2 linked regions of the Arabidopsis thaliana genome follow. The protein of the gene in region 1 interacts with the protein of each later gene in a pairwise test. Each region holds a gene or a part of one and is shown on either strand. Other genes may lie near its edges.

Evidence for each region.
Region 2: the proteins of AT1G80000 (region 1) and AT4G28230 interact in a two-hybrid assay, tested with the Arabidopsis thaliana proteins (one large-scale study listed by BioGRID).

Annotation. Positions count from the first base shown.
Region 1 is NC_003070.9:30,090,755-30,097,899, forward strand, and holds AT1G80000 (CASC3/Barentsz eIF4AIII binding protein), read left to right. Parts: upstream 1-2,052; 5' UTR 2,053-2,440; coding exon 2,441-2,907; intron 2,908-3,218; coding exon 3,219-3,318; intron 3,319-3,483; coding exon 3,484-3,689; intron 3,690-3,774; coding exon 3,775-4,454; intron 4,455-4,677; coding exon 4,678-4,780; intron 4,781-5,018; coding exon 5,019-5,138; intron 5,139-5,538; coding exon 5,539-5,591; intron 5,592-5,722; coding exon 5,723-5,783; intron 5,784-5,914; coding exon of another isoform or gene 5,915-5,924; exon of another isoform or gene 5,925-5,960; coding exon 5,961-5,988; 3' UTR 5,989-6,151; intron 6,152-6,236; 3' UTR 6,237-6,569; downstream 6,570-7,145. Other genes in the region: AT1G79990 (coatomer subunit beta-2), read left to right, coding at 1-17, 119-225, 466-595, 729-894, 1,173-1,195; FRS8 (FAR1-related sequence 8), read left to right, coding at 6,811-6,897, 7,002-7,145. UniProt on the Arabidopsis thaliana protein: Core component of the splicing-dependent multiprotein exon junction complex (EJC) deposited at splice junctions on mRNAs.
Region 2 is NC_003075.7:13,995,070-13,999,335, forward strand, and holds AT4G28230 (uncharacterized protein), read right to left. Parts: upstream 2,239-4,266; 5' UTR 2,130-2,238; coding exon 921-2,129; 3' UTR 710-920; downstream 1-709. Other genes in the region: NDB1 (NAD(P)H dehydrogenase B1), read left to right, coding at 1-10, 95-216, 301-420, 495-582; AT4G28240 (Wound-responsive family protein), read right to left, coding at 2,910-3,170.

The sequences.
Region 1 (7,145 bases):
GAAACGATTTGACCAAGGTTAGTGGTAGACACATCCGATGCACCTTGTGATTGAATTTCAAACCTTGCCTGTTGAGATATCCACAATTTTTCTTCATCCTCTGTCAATCTGGATATAGATAAGTCCAAAGGCTGCTGAATCTCTGGCTGATCCCGAAGAGTATCCCAATCTCTTTGAGGAGTGGCAAGTCGCCCTGTCCCTTGAAAATAGAGCTGCAGAGACGAGGTATCTTTTCGTCGTTGCCGTCATTAGCTTATTCTTAAAAACAGTGCTTATGAGGAAACCTTTTTAATTGAATTGTGGGACTTAAGCCATTTAGAGTCATGTGTCTGTATTACATAGCAAGGTAGCCGTCATGTATTTGCTTATAATTTGAATTTATACCCGTATAAACATAAGCCGAATGTCGATTTCATTTTTTCAGGATCCTCATAAACAAAGTATTTTTGTTGACTTATCTTGCAGGGGCGTCCATCCTCCTGCTGGGGATTATTGTAGTCATGCAGACAGAGATCATACAACTTTAGTGGATGCTTTTAGAATTATGCAAATAGAGGAAGAGGGTCGACTTGAGCAAGGGGATGTTCTCGACGAGGTATGCATGTTTACATTACATGCATTGAAGAGGATTGTCTTTTACCCATGATATCCAATCCAATGGTCTTGGCCATGGTGGACAATGGTAGGATCATTAATTCTACTGTCGCTGCTTCATTTGTTGTGAACAGGTTGGGGAAGAGGGGGAAGATGGAGAGGAAGAGGAGGAGGAGGATCGTCAGGAAGAGAGTAGTGATGGGAGACAGCAGAATGTGGAAGAAGAGGCTGTTGTGGTGGACGCTGACTCTACGGATGGTGCTGTGCTAGTTAATGGTAACGAGTCTGAAGAACAGTGGGGTAAGATTAGTGAAGGAACCGCATCAGCCTTATAGCATTTGTGGTTATCAATTGATTATAAGATGTCGCTGCACCAAAATATCCTTTTGCCATCTGCACATATATCATAGGATTTGCGTTTGCATCTGTCCATCAATGTTTCCTCATCTGTCTGCCTCCCATCTTCGTCTTACTGATCATCTTACTTTTGATGTTGACTGTCTTTTAAATAGTGCTTCTCTATGCCATTAACTTTTTTATCAATCCGTGGACTGATTAAATATTTGTTTGTTGTACAGTTCTAACACCGCCACAAGAGTAGGGTTGGTGAAGAGTGAAGACATACACAGATAGATATTTTCTTGGCTTTGAAACTTGATACATTCAGCAGAGAAATGAGGCAGCACAGAGAGAGATTAGTTTCCATTGTTAAAAAACTGATCTATTGATAGCTTCCGCTTTGTGCTTTTAATACAGATACATATTAAAAAAAAAGGGGGTTTTGGGACTCTTATGTAGCTTTAACTTATGAGAGATTTCACCTGTAGAATATCTGTTTTGAACTGAGATTTCACCCATATAATATGTTTTGACTTTCGATTCAATAGGTTATGTAGTTGATATCTTTTTTTTTTTTGCAAAACTCAATAGCAGTAGCAAAAAACTTAATTGGAAATAATCAAAGTGAAGGGATAAGTTGGGAAAGAGCCAGAGGATAACGCATGGTGCATTATTATTAGTATTGTGGAGGAGACGCATCTCGAAACATCTCTCAAAGCAAACAAGGACCCAAAACAAAGTTCCTTGCATTCTTCCACTGTCCGTAATCACCATCACCATATCATTATTCTTCTACCCATTTTGTCTTGGAAATGATTTTAAATTTTCTTGTTGCTTCTTACTGCAAACTGTGTATAGGTTCAACTACTCCATTGAGTTACACACTTGCATGCACCTATGGAAGTTAATTTTCCGGTTTTGATTGATATTCAAGTTGTTGACCAATGGAGTTATATACCCTTGATTTATATAGAAACCACATGTTTTATTTATATTAACATGGTCACTTTTGTCAGGATTAATAGACAACAATAGTTGAGAGAAAAAGTGATAAGGTAGAGCTAATTTGTATTAAACTTATCAATTAGTATTGTTGGTTAAAAAAAAGTTAATAAAGTAGTCAAGTTGGATAATTCCCAAAAACTGGGAAAAAAGAACTCAAGCGTCAAATGTTGTAGGTGCATCATCATCAGTCTACAAGTAGTAAAAAACCCATTCGATTTGATAAGAAGACCCAACGGAAAGAGTCTTCCCGTCTACAAAGTAAACCCAATCAATCTTAATAATCTTTAAGAGGTTTTTTCTTATTATAATTATCTATCTCTCTATCTATCTATCTGCGGATCTCTCATGAAGAAACACTGAGGAGATTCTCTCGCTCTGATCTCCTGGTATCGTCGTCTCTCTCCGTAGAGATATACTAGTTTGTCCCATATCCGATTGATTGCTCTATTCAATTTATTCCTCTTCTAGGTTTTCGGTTTGGCCCTCCGATTTAGAGGGATTGATGGCCCCTGATGGCGTTGAAGACTCCGACTATGAGAGTGATCCCGACGAGTTGAACCGCTCCTTGGCTACACGGAGGAGAGAAGCCAGCGATGATGATGAGGATGATGAAGAAGCGGACGACCATGATAAGCTGCGAGCAGCAATCCAGATTCATTCCGATGAACACAGTGGTGTTGTTGTTGTCGACTCTGATGATAATGAAGGATTGCACATAGAAGATAGTTATGGTGATGATGACGACGAAGAGGAAGATGGTGATTATGGACAAGTTGATGACCATGTCGAATACATTGCGGATAATAATGACAAGACAATTGTCGCCGGCAATGGGACCGATGACTCTGCCGCCACTGATCTTGTGGATGGAGAGGAACAAAAGAAGAAGGAACCTTTTGCAGTGCCTACTGCTGGAGCTTTCTATATGCATGATGACAGATTTCAGGAATTGGATGCCGCCTCTAATAGGTAAACTCTTTTTGATTCTATGAGGAGGTAGTGTTTTGTCCAAACTATGCAAATGTATCTATCTACTATTGAGGTAGAGTACATTGATAGGTGAAATTAGCAAACGACTTTCCGTCATTCAATCTCATGATGTACTTCAGAGTTCAGATAGATTGGAACAACTGCTTTGGTTTTATGTTTTAACTTTGATTGTGAATCTTTATGTATGAATCTACCCGAGATGCCATCACACTGCTATTTTTCCATTTAACATTCTGTTTAGTTACATGGTAATGCCAACCGATATAGGTTTTCGTTTTTTATTTCTGTAGGCGAATGCGTGGTGGTAGGAGGCTCTGGCAATCCAGAGATGAAAGAAAGTGGGGACATGACAAATTCGAGGAAATGAATACACAGAAACAGCAATATGATGTACTTTTCTCTGATCATCTCTCTTTCTCTTTCTCTCCTTTTCATAAATATATTTGTATTCATCGACTTGTTTCCTCTTGCTGTGTTTATACATTTGCCACCTCTTTTTTCTTTTTCCTTTTTTTTTTCCTTTTGAAAGCTGATTAATTAAACTTGTGAACATAGAGGAGGACTTCGAGAGGCCGAGGCAGAGGTCGTGGTCAGGGTAGGGGTCAGGACCGTGGACAGTCTCGGGGGAACAATTCTAAAGAATTTACTGGCAATGGACACCAAAATCAGTTTCCGAAGGCTGTCACGAGAGGGAGGGGGGCCAGAAGATATGAGGTTGCATTGAGAAATGGGAATCAAGCACCTTCTGTGCAAACCAAACAGTGAGTCCTTAATTTTGTTTCCTCTCTAGTCAACACATGAAGGCTCTAGGTCTCTAATTGTTGTGTCTTTTTACGGAATCTTTAGGTCCCAAAATTCGTCTGTGGAAGTGTCACACGTTGATTTAGGGCGTCCACCAACAGAAACAGCTACCTTAGAGACTGAAGCCATCCAAGCCAAAAAGAATGTATTTGCTTCAAGTTTAAATTCAGCTTCTCCTCCATTTTATCCTTCAAGATCCAACAATAACTTGGCACAAAAGGATGTACAAGCTGGCATGGGTAGGCTGCACATTAATGAAAACCCTAATCCGACTGGAAAGAAGTTTGGGAATACAAAATCCAGCTCCTTGTGGGGACGCACTGCTCAGACTACAAGTCATGGTAGAGGTGTACCTCCTCATGGGCAAGTGCTTTACCAGCAATCTCCTAATCAAGGTGACAAAGTTTCTTCGCCGATGCAAATCCGTGGAATGCCTAAAGGCACTGACCAGAGCTGTACTCAACTTCCTGGTCAGGTTTTTAATCAACATTCGGCTGTTATCAGTTTGCTGCCTTCTTCTCCTCCAAAAACCGGATCATCAGAAAATCCGTATCTTTCTGGTGAAATAGAGTCAGCCGTAGAAACAGGTGCTTTGGTTGCCAAGGGAAAAGGGTCTCTCCAACCTAGTGGAAGGGGATCTTTTATGTATGGAGGGACACAGTTTATGGGCCCTGCCGGGATGGCAGCTGGTCACGGCAATCCAAATTTCCCTGCTTTTCTACCTGGTAAGTTGTTCTTGAATGTCATTGTTCATCCTACATTGTAATGGTTGAAAGACATCTTTCAGAATCAATCTATGCATGCTAGTGAAATTGAGAGCTATTGATGCTGAGCCGCTTGGCCTGGTTGCCCATGTCTAGGGCCGCTTGAGAACGGCACCTTTTTGTACAGGTGCTAATATGCACGCCTGACTAGTTTAAACTTGTTTGTTTTCATTTTCATGTTCAGTTATGCAATTCGGTGGTCAGCATGGTGGGGTTCCAACTTTTGGAATGGCTCTTCCAGGTTATTTCCAACCAGAACATGGTACCGGAAATCCTGAGATGACATGGTATGCAGTTCCACAGCTATGTTTTAAAAGTTATATATTTGGTGCATTCTTAGTTGACTTGCTGCATGCTTTTGTAATTTGAGAGGATGTTTAATCTTGTAACTAGTCTTTTACTAGCCCAAACAGAACCTGAATTATTGCTTTCACTCGTCTGCTGTTTGTTTTTTGTTTGATTTCCCTATTTCTCTATCTATAGTAGGTCCTTATTACTGCTATTATTTTCTTAAATTATTGACAGGCTGCCAATTTTGGCTGGCCCTGGAGCATTAGGGGGTTCATATTGTCCACCTTATACTGTCCTTGATGGTTCTTACCAAGCAGACAAACCAGGGTTACCTTCCTCTGCCGGATCGTCCAGGTTTAGAAATAATTTTCTCAGTATTGTTAATCAACATGTCATTTCCATATGCATATGTGTAGACTCTTTGCTTTTTACCTTAGAGGAAGAGTAGTATGGGAATGCAGCTTTAAGCCCTTAACTAAGTAACGTATGTGAGATTTTAGATTTGTGGTTCCTCTTATTCTAGACCCACTGCAAAATGCTTGTTACCTGTTAGATTTACATTTCTTAAGTGCTTAGATTAGTAGTTTCTCGACTATGTACACCCAGAAACATGTAGTTTTCATTAAACAGACTCACTTTCTTGGTTGGGCACTCATGTAACCATGTCAATCATCTCTGATTATGAGCGTCTAGTAAAGCATATAATTTGAGCTCAAGTACCCAATTACCTTATATTTTTGATTTTTTGTTGCAGCCAAGAGAACAGTTCCAATAATCCTAATGATGAAGAGCCCATGGAGAGACCTGGTAAGTAATAACTCTTGCCAATTAAATGGGGTTGTTATAATGGATTCAGAAGATTTTGTTGTGTTTTGGCGAATAAGAAATTTGAATGATTACATGGAGAGACTGATTCGTATGGGGGTTTATTGATGTAGAGGTTACGAACAATGGGAATTCTCAACGGTCAAATAGCAACCCAAACAAGCAGCCTCGTAGGTGAGTTTTGAAGCAATCTAGTTTATTTATCGGTCAGTGTTAGTGTGACGTGAAACCACCTTGAAATCAAAGTACCACAGGAGTAGTTGGATACAGATATTTGTGGAAATGAAATGTTAATATTGGTCCAGGATGAAATGAAACACTAACGAGCACATGTTGACGAGGGATGTGCAGATACTCGGAGATGAGCTTTAGCAAGTGAGTAAAGAAGAGTGGAAAGGAAGAAGGTCATCTAATTTGACTAAGTGGAGTGAAAGGAGGAGGGTGAGAGAGAAGAGCTCCTTAGGAGCAGCAGGCCCTTGGTGCTTCTCCAACTGCTTTATGAAGCCGTTTGGGCTGCTATTATTGTTACCTATTTTTATTAGGTACGCAATTTCTCTCAAGATACCAATTGAAGAGAGGTTTTAACCACATTATAATTTGAACTTGTGTTTGCTGTTTTGTTTTCAGGAGGTTGTTGTGCAATTGAAAAGAATTTTTGTTTTGTTTTCGTTGTTATGAGAGCTTGAGCTTGAGCCGTGGGCGTCCTTCATCTGTAATTTATTCTTTTGTCCGTTTGGGTTCAAATTGATATTTTGTAATGTTGATATGTGTTATTCTGTTTTCGTTTGTCAACTTCTTTATCAAAAGTTGTGTGCCCTATTCGTACGCCTGCGAAGTCCCCCCAAGAATTGCCCATGTTGAGTTTTGATGGTAGTTAGTTGTCTATGTTTTATATTTTACGCAAGGGGATAGTGGTGGTGCTCAGTCAAATTTACCCGATTCGTGAGAAATGAGTCATTGAGGAATTGTTACCATATATATAAAGACATGCCTCCGCTCTGGTTATTTAGTTATGCGACAAAAACAAAACAGACCGCATAGAATAGATGCAACAAACCAAGTGTATAGAAACTTTATTCCTTGGCGCAGCAAAAAAAAAAAAAGGGATAGAGTCTCCGTTGATTCAGGTAGCTCAGCGTCCTCTGAGATGAAACGATTGTTGTTGTTTGTTTGTTGATTTTAGTTTTTAGTTTAGTGGAAGATGATCGGTAATAGCGTCTACATCTCACCGTCACCGTCACCGTCCGACCACTCTCTCTCGCCCAACCCTAATCTCTGCATCTCGGCGGTTGGTTTCTACTGTCTTCCTTTCTCTCTCTCTATTTACTACAAATTTTGATTTCAATTTGGGTTTCCGATTTCGATTTCAATTTTGAATTTGATGGTCTTCAGATGGAAGAGCAGCTGGTTGTTGATGATGATGATGATGACCTTGCTCCTCCTCCAATCCCTGATCTCGATATTGACCTTGAAGATGATGATGACGCCTGTTGTCACGGCTTGCTTCATATCGCACCTAATCACGAAGAAGAAACT
Region 2 (4,266 bases), on another chromosome or scaffold:
AACTGCTCAGGTACTTGGTGAATTCACCTATGCGTAGAATCGTGGGTTTTATCTAGGATGTCAGGGTCAATGGTCTGCTTGTTTGTTTGCATAGGTCGCTGCCCAGCAAGGTGCTTATCTTGCAAAATGCTTCAACAGGATGGAGCAGTGTAAAGAGCTACCTGAAGGTCCTAAGCGCTTCAGAACTGGCGGGCATCATCAGTTTCGCCCCTTCCAGTATGCCTAATCTAATGAACTCAGGACCTTGCATCCTCATAAACTTCCAAGATATAGAGATGAAAGCTCTTCGCTTGATTACAGGTACAAGCACTTTGGACAATTTGCTCCACTAGGAGGGGACCAAGCAGCAGCTGAACTACCTGGAGACTGGGTTTCAGCTGGAAAAAGCGCCCAGTGGCTCTGGTATTCTGTTTATGCCAGGTAAACGCTGAGAAACTCTTTTATTCATTATAGTAAATGCACAGAATTTGAAACATGAAACATGAATGATGCAGCAAGCAAGTTAGCTGGCGAACGAGGGCTCTGGTGGTGTCGGACTGGACAAGGAGGTACATATTCGGGAGGGATTCAAGCCGCATCTGACTCAATACTGCATTTTGTAATGTGTTTAAGAGGAAACCAAGATACAGTCTCTCTCTTTTTCGTTTGTTTTTGGTGTAAATTTCACAAAGCTGTGGCCAAACTTCTTGTTTGTGAGTGGCAAAGCAAAAACCTTTTGAAAGAATCTTTCTTCATGAAGCTGACATTTACAAAAGATAACAAAAACTCACAATCTTAATGTGTATTTAGAAAAGACATTAAGCATTCCAACAAAGATTCTTGCTCTGCGAGCCGAAAAACAAAATCAAAACCAAACAAATTCACAATCAAGTAACCACAACAAGAGTTGTGGATTTTACTCAAATTGATAAGCGGATCATTCATTCTTCAAACTTCAGAAGCTGGCAAAAAGTGAAGTTACGATCCTTGGCTTGTAATTCTGCAACTCTCTTAGCAGCACCTGAATCACGAGGGCTCCCTCCCACACGACGAAGCGTTCTGATCTTAGGTAGCTCCTTAACTATAGGAGACTCGTCACCGTTCTCACCACTGCTATACAGATCAACTTCACTTGGAATCTCCCATCTCTTCTTCACTCTCCCTTCACTCTTGTTACTTTCATCAGAAGCTCTTCTCTTCTCCGACCTCTTATGATTCTCTTTCTCTTCATCCTCAGGCAACGACCTTTTCCTAACATCTTTCTCTCCAGTCTGCGTTTTACCCATTTGACTGTACCTACTAGCCACAACTCTTCCTGGTTTCAATGGTTTCCTTAAAGAAACATTCTTTTCATCTTCTTTGAATAGCCTCTTAGGCTGGATTGTTAAGAGAACTCCTTCTTCTTTCTTCACAGCTCTCTTTGACCCCACCGTCGTAGCTGCTTGCTTCTGAGCTGCCGTCATTTTCGCTTTGCGAGATCTCGGACTCAGACTCAAACTCGTTCTTCCTTTACCTCGTGTCGTCACTTGACCTTCTTCGATTCCAGGAAGCTTAAAGAAACAAGACTTGCGTCGATTCTGAGCTGATTGAAGAGGAGTCACAGTTTCAGATTTCTTCGCGGAATTGAATATCTCCGCTGGTCCAAGACTAACGCCTCTACGAGTGGCTCTTGATTTCGATCCTGTAAAACACGAATCGTCGAATTTCACTTGTTTCTGAGATGATTCCATGAACTTCGCCGGAACGATTCTTCCACGTATAGCAATGCTTCTTGCGGTTTGCTCCGCCTTCTCTAATCGGAGCGACTCCAATTTCGTCGATAATCGTCCGATCTCCTTCTCTACTTCTTCGATCTCTGCATCGATATCTCGCTTTTTACTCCGATCTGCGGCGGATTTGGTCTTCACGGTCTTGGATTTTGCTGACGGAGCTTCGGTGATCGAGACTGAGGATTGGAGCGAAGAGGAAACCGAAATCGGAAACTGATTCTCCTTGCTACAATCGGAATCGAATGATTCGTTGAGGTGAGACCAAGAAGAAGCTTCGATGGCGGAAGTGATTTGAGAATCTCCATCGTCGAAGGCAGCGTTGTTCCAGATCTGAAGCTTTGGAGGAGCGTTAAGCGTTTCTGTTGCCTCAATTGATGTCATATTCAGAGCGATTTGATCTTCTTCTACGAGAAATTTAGGGTTTGGAGAAAGAATTGGACACTTGAGGAGGAAGAAGGAAGAAGCGAGTATTTCTTGAGGATTATTTGACCGTTGGAAATGAAGGAGACGTTACTCATTACTCCATTAAGGAGCGTCGTCAGATTTGGACCGTTGGATTAAGCAGCCACGCTCCGATTTCATTCAAAGCCAAGTTACATAAATGGGCCAAATAGCCCAAGAGCTGATCTCGTTGTGGGCCTCTTGTTCCTCGCACAATTGGCCCGACGAATATAACATTTCAGTTTGCTCGTAAGATGAATTATAGGACCTACCTCAATAATGACAACCACAATAGATAAATAAATAAAAGCATTATGGAGTGACTGACTTGTCTGTCTCTTTGGATAACGATGGTTTTGGAATATTTTAGTACTATTGTTTAATTTAGAATCGTATTTTACTGTGGATAAAGTTGAAATTAGTGGTAATCGCAATCAAGATTCCAGATTGTAATAAAGTTGGTGAGCGAACGATGTTTTAAGATATAGAAAATGAACAGAGTTCTCTCATAATCCAAGGCTTGCTTTGATCTTTTAGAACATTCTAATATTCACAGAGATGTAACCAAACTATACAGTTGCATCCAGAAAATCCGACTCAAGCGATTTCATAAGCACGAGTCAACCACCACAGATGAACCAAACTATATACAGTTTGCATCAGAAAAAAATTCTGATTCAGCGGAGTTCATGAGCGAGCCACGACCATCATTATCTGAATTTAGCCTTGAGCCCAGCAGTTGAGGTACATGACTTGTCGGAGAGACTCATCGGGAGTGGAAGAAGAGGTACGACGTCTTTCTTCCGAAGGGAGAGAGTCGCCGGTTAGATCTGCGGCGGCGAGAGGACGGAGATCGGAGGAAAGTCTTCGTTGGAGACGGTGAGCAGAGGTGAGACCGCTTTTTAACTTGACGCCGTGATCGGCGTTTCCTTGAACAGCTACGAACGATGCTGCCATCCACACTTTGTTCAGATAACTCATTCTTTAATAGTGATTATATGTTGTAGATCCTTTCTTCGTAAATTGGAAACCTTTGAAAGATTTGAGAAGCTTTTGTTAAAAAGGAAGATTAGTTCGATTTTTGTAGGAAGGAAATGAAGAGATGAGGTTGGTACTTATAGCCAGAGGGATATTGGGGTGAGGGTAAATAGGTAAATTCAAAAAGATCTAAAATAAGCGATACCGTGCACAATGGATTAGTGGGATCCAGGTATAGGAAAGCGATACGGTACGATATGGTTAAGTTATCGTGAAATATCTCGGGGGAAATTGAAAGTGCTGAGTAATGAGGAAACAAGTGGCGAGCTTAGAGGGTCCTATCCTCAAGATGAGTCACCCTTGCTTCAATTATCGACCCCTTCATGTGGGCCCCATTCTTAATTATTTTTGTAATTTGGTTTTTTTTTTTTTTTTTTTTTGTTGAATGTAAATTTGTTTTGTTTTGTTTTGTTTTATACGAAAATGAAAAACCGATAGGTCGGCCTAAAACCAAAATGGAACGATGGTTTTATGTGAGGGGTGGGGTGGTGCCTAGAGACTAGGATAGAGTCCCACGAGGGGATTGGTTACGTGTTAACCGATTATTGGGTCATCACGTGCCCCTTCACGTGATATTACTGTCCATCAATACTTCTTGTCCCTTTGCTTCCGGTTAATTTATTATTAGTAGTGAGTATTTGTTTTTACTTTGATTTGCTAAGTGCTATCTTTAATGACTAATCCAACCAATTATATGTGAGTAGTTTAATTTTATTTTATTTTATTTTATTTTATCACCAATATATTAATGAGTAGTTTTAACTATCATATTCTTCTGTCATTCTAATTTGAAAACGTTTATTAGTGGAATGAGTGAATCTTGTGATAGTTGGACTTGGCTTTGTGAGGATGTGGGCCGTTCACATATTATGCTTATCCCACTTATACTAGATAAGCCCTGTCTGCTTCTTCTACTAATCTAAGCATATGTCTATCACATTTATGCTCATGTCAAACTATCTTATTGCATCACATATCTTCTTGCATTTGGCTATAACCAGTTCTACATTTTCTTTTCCCCGATTCTTATATGTCAAAT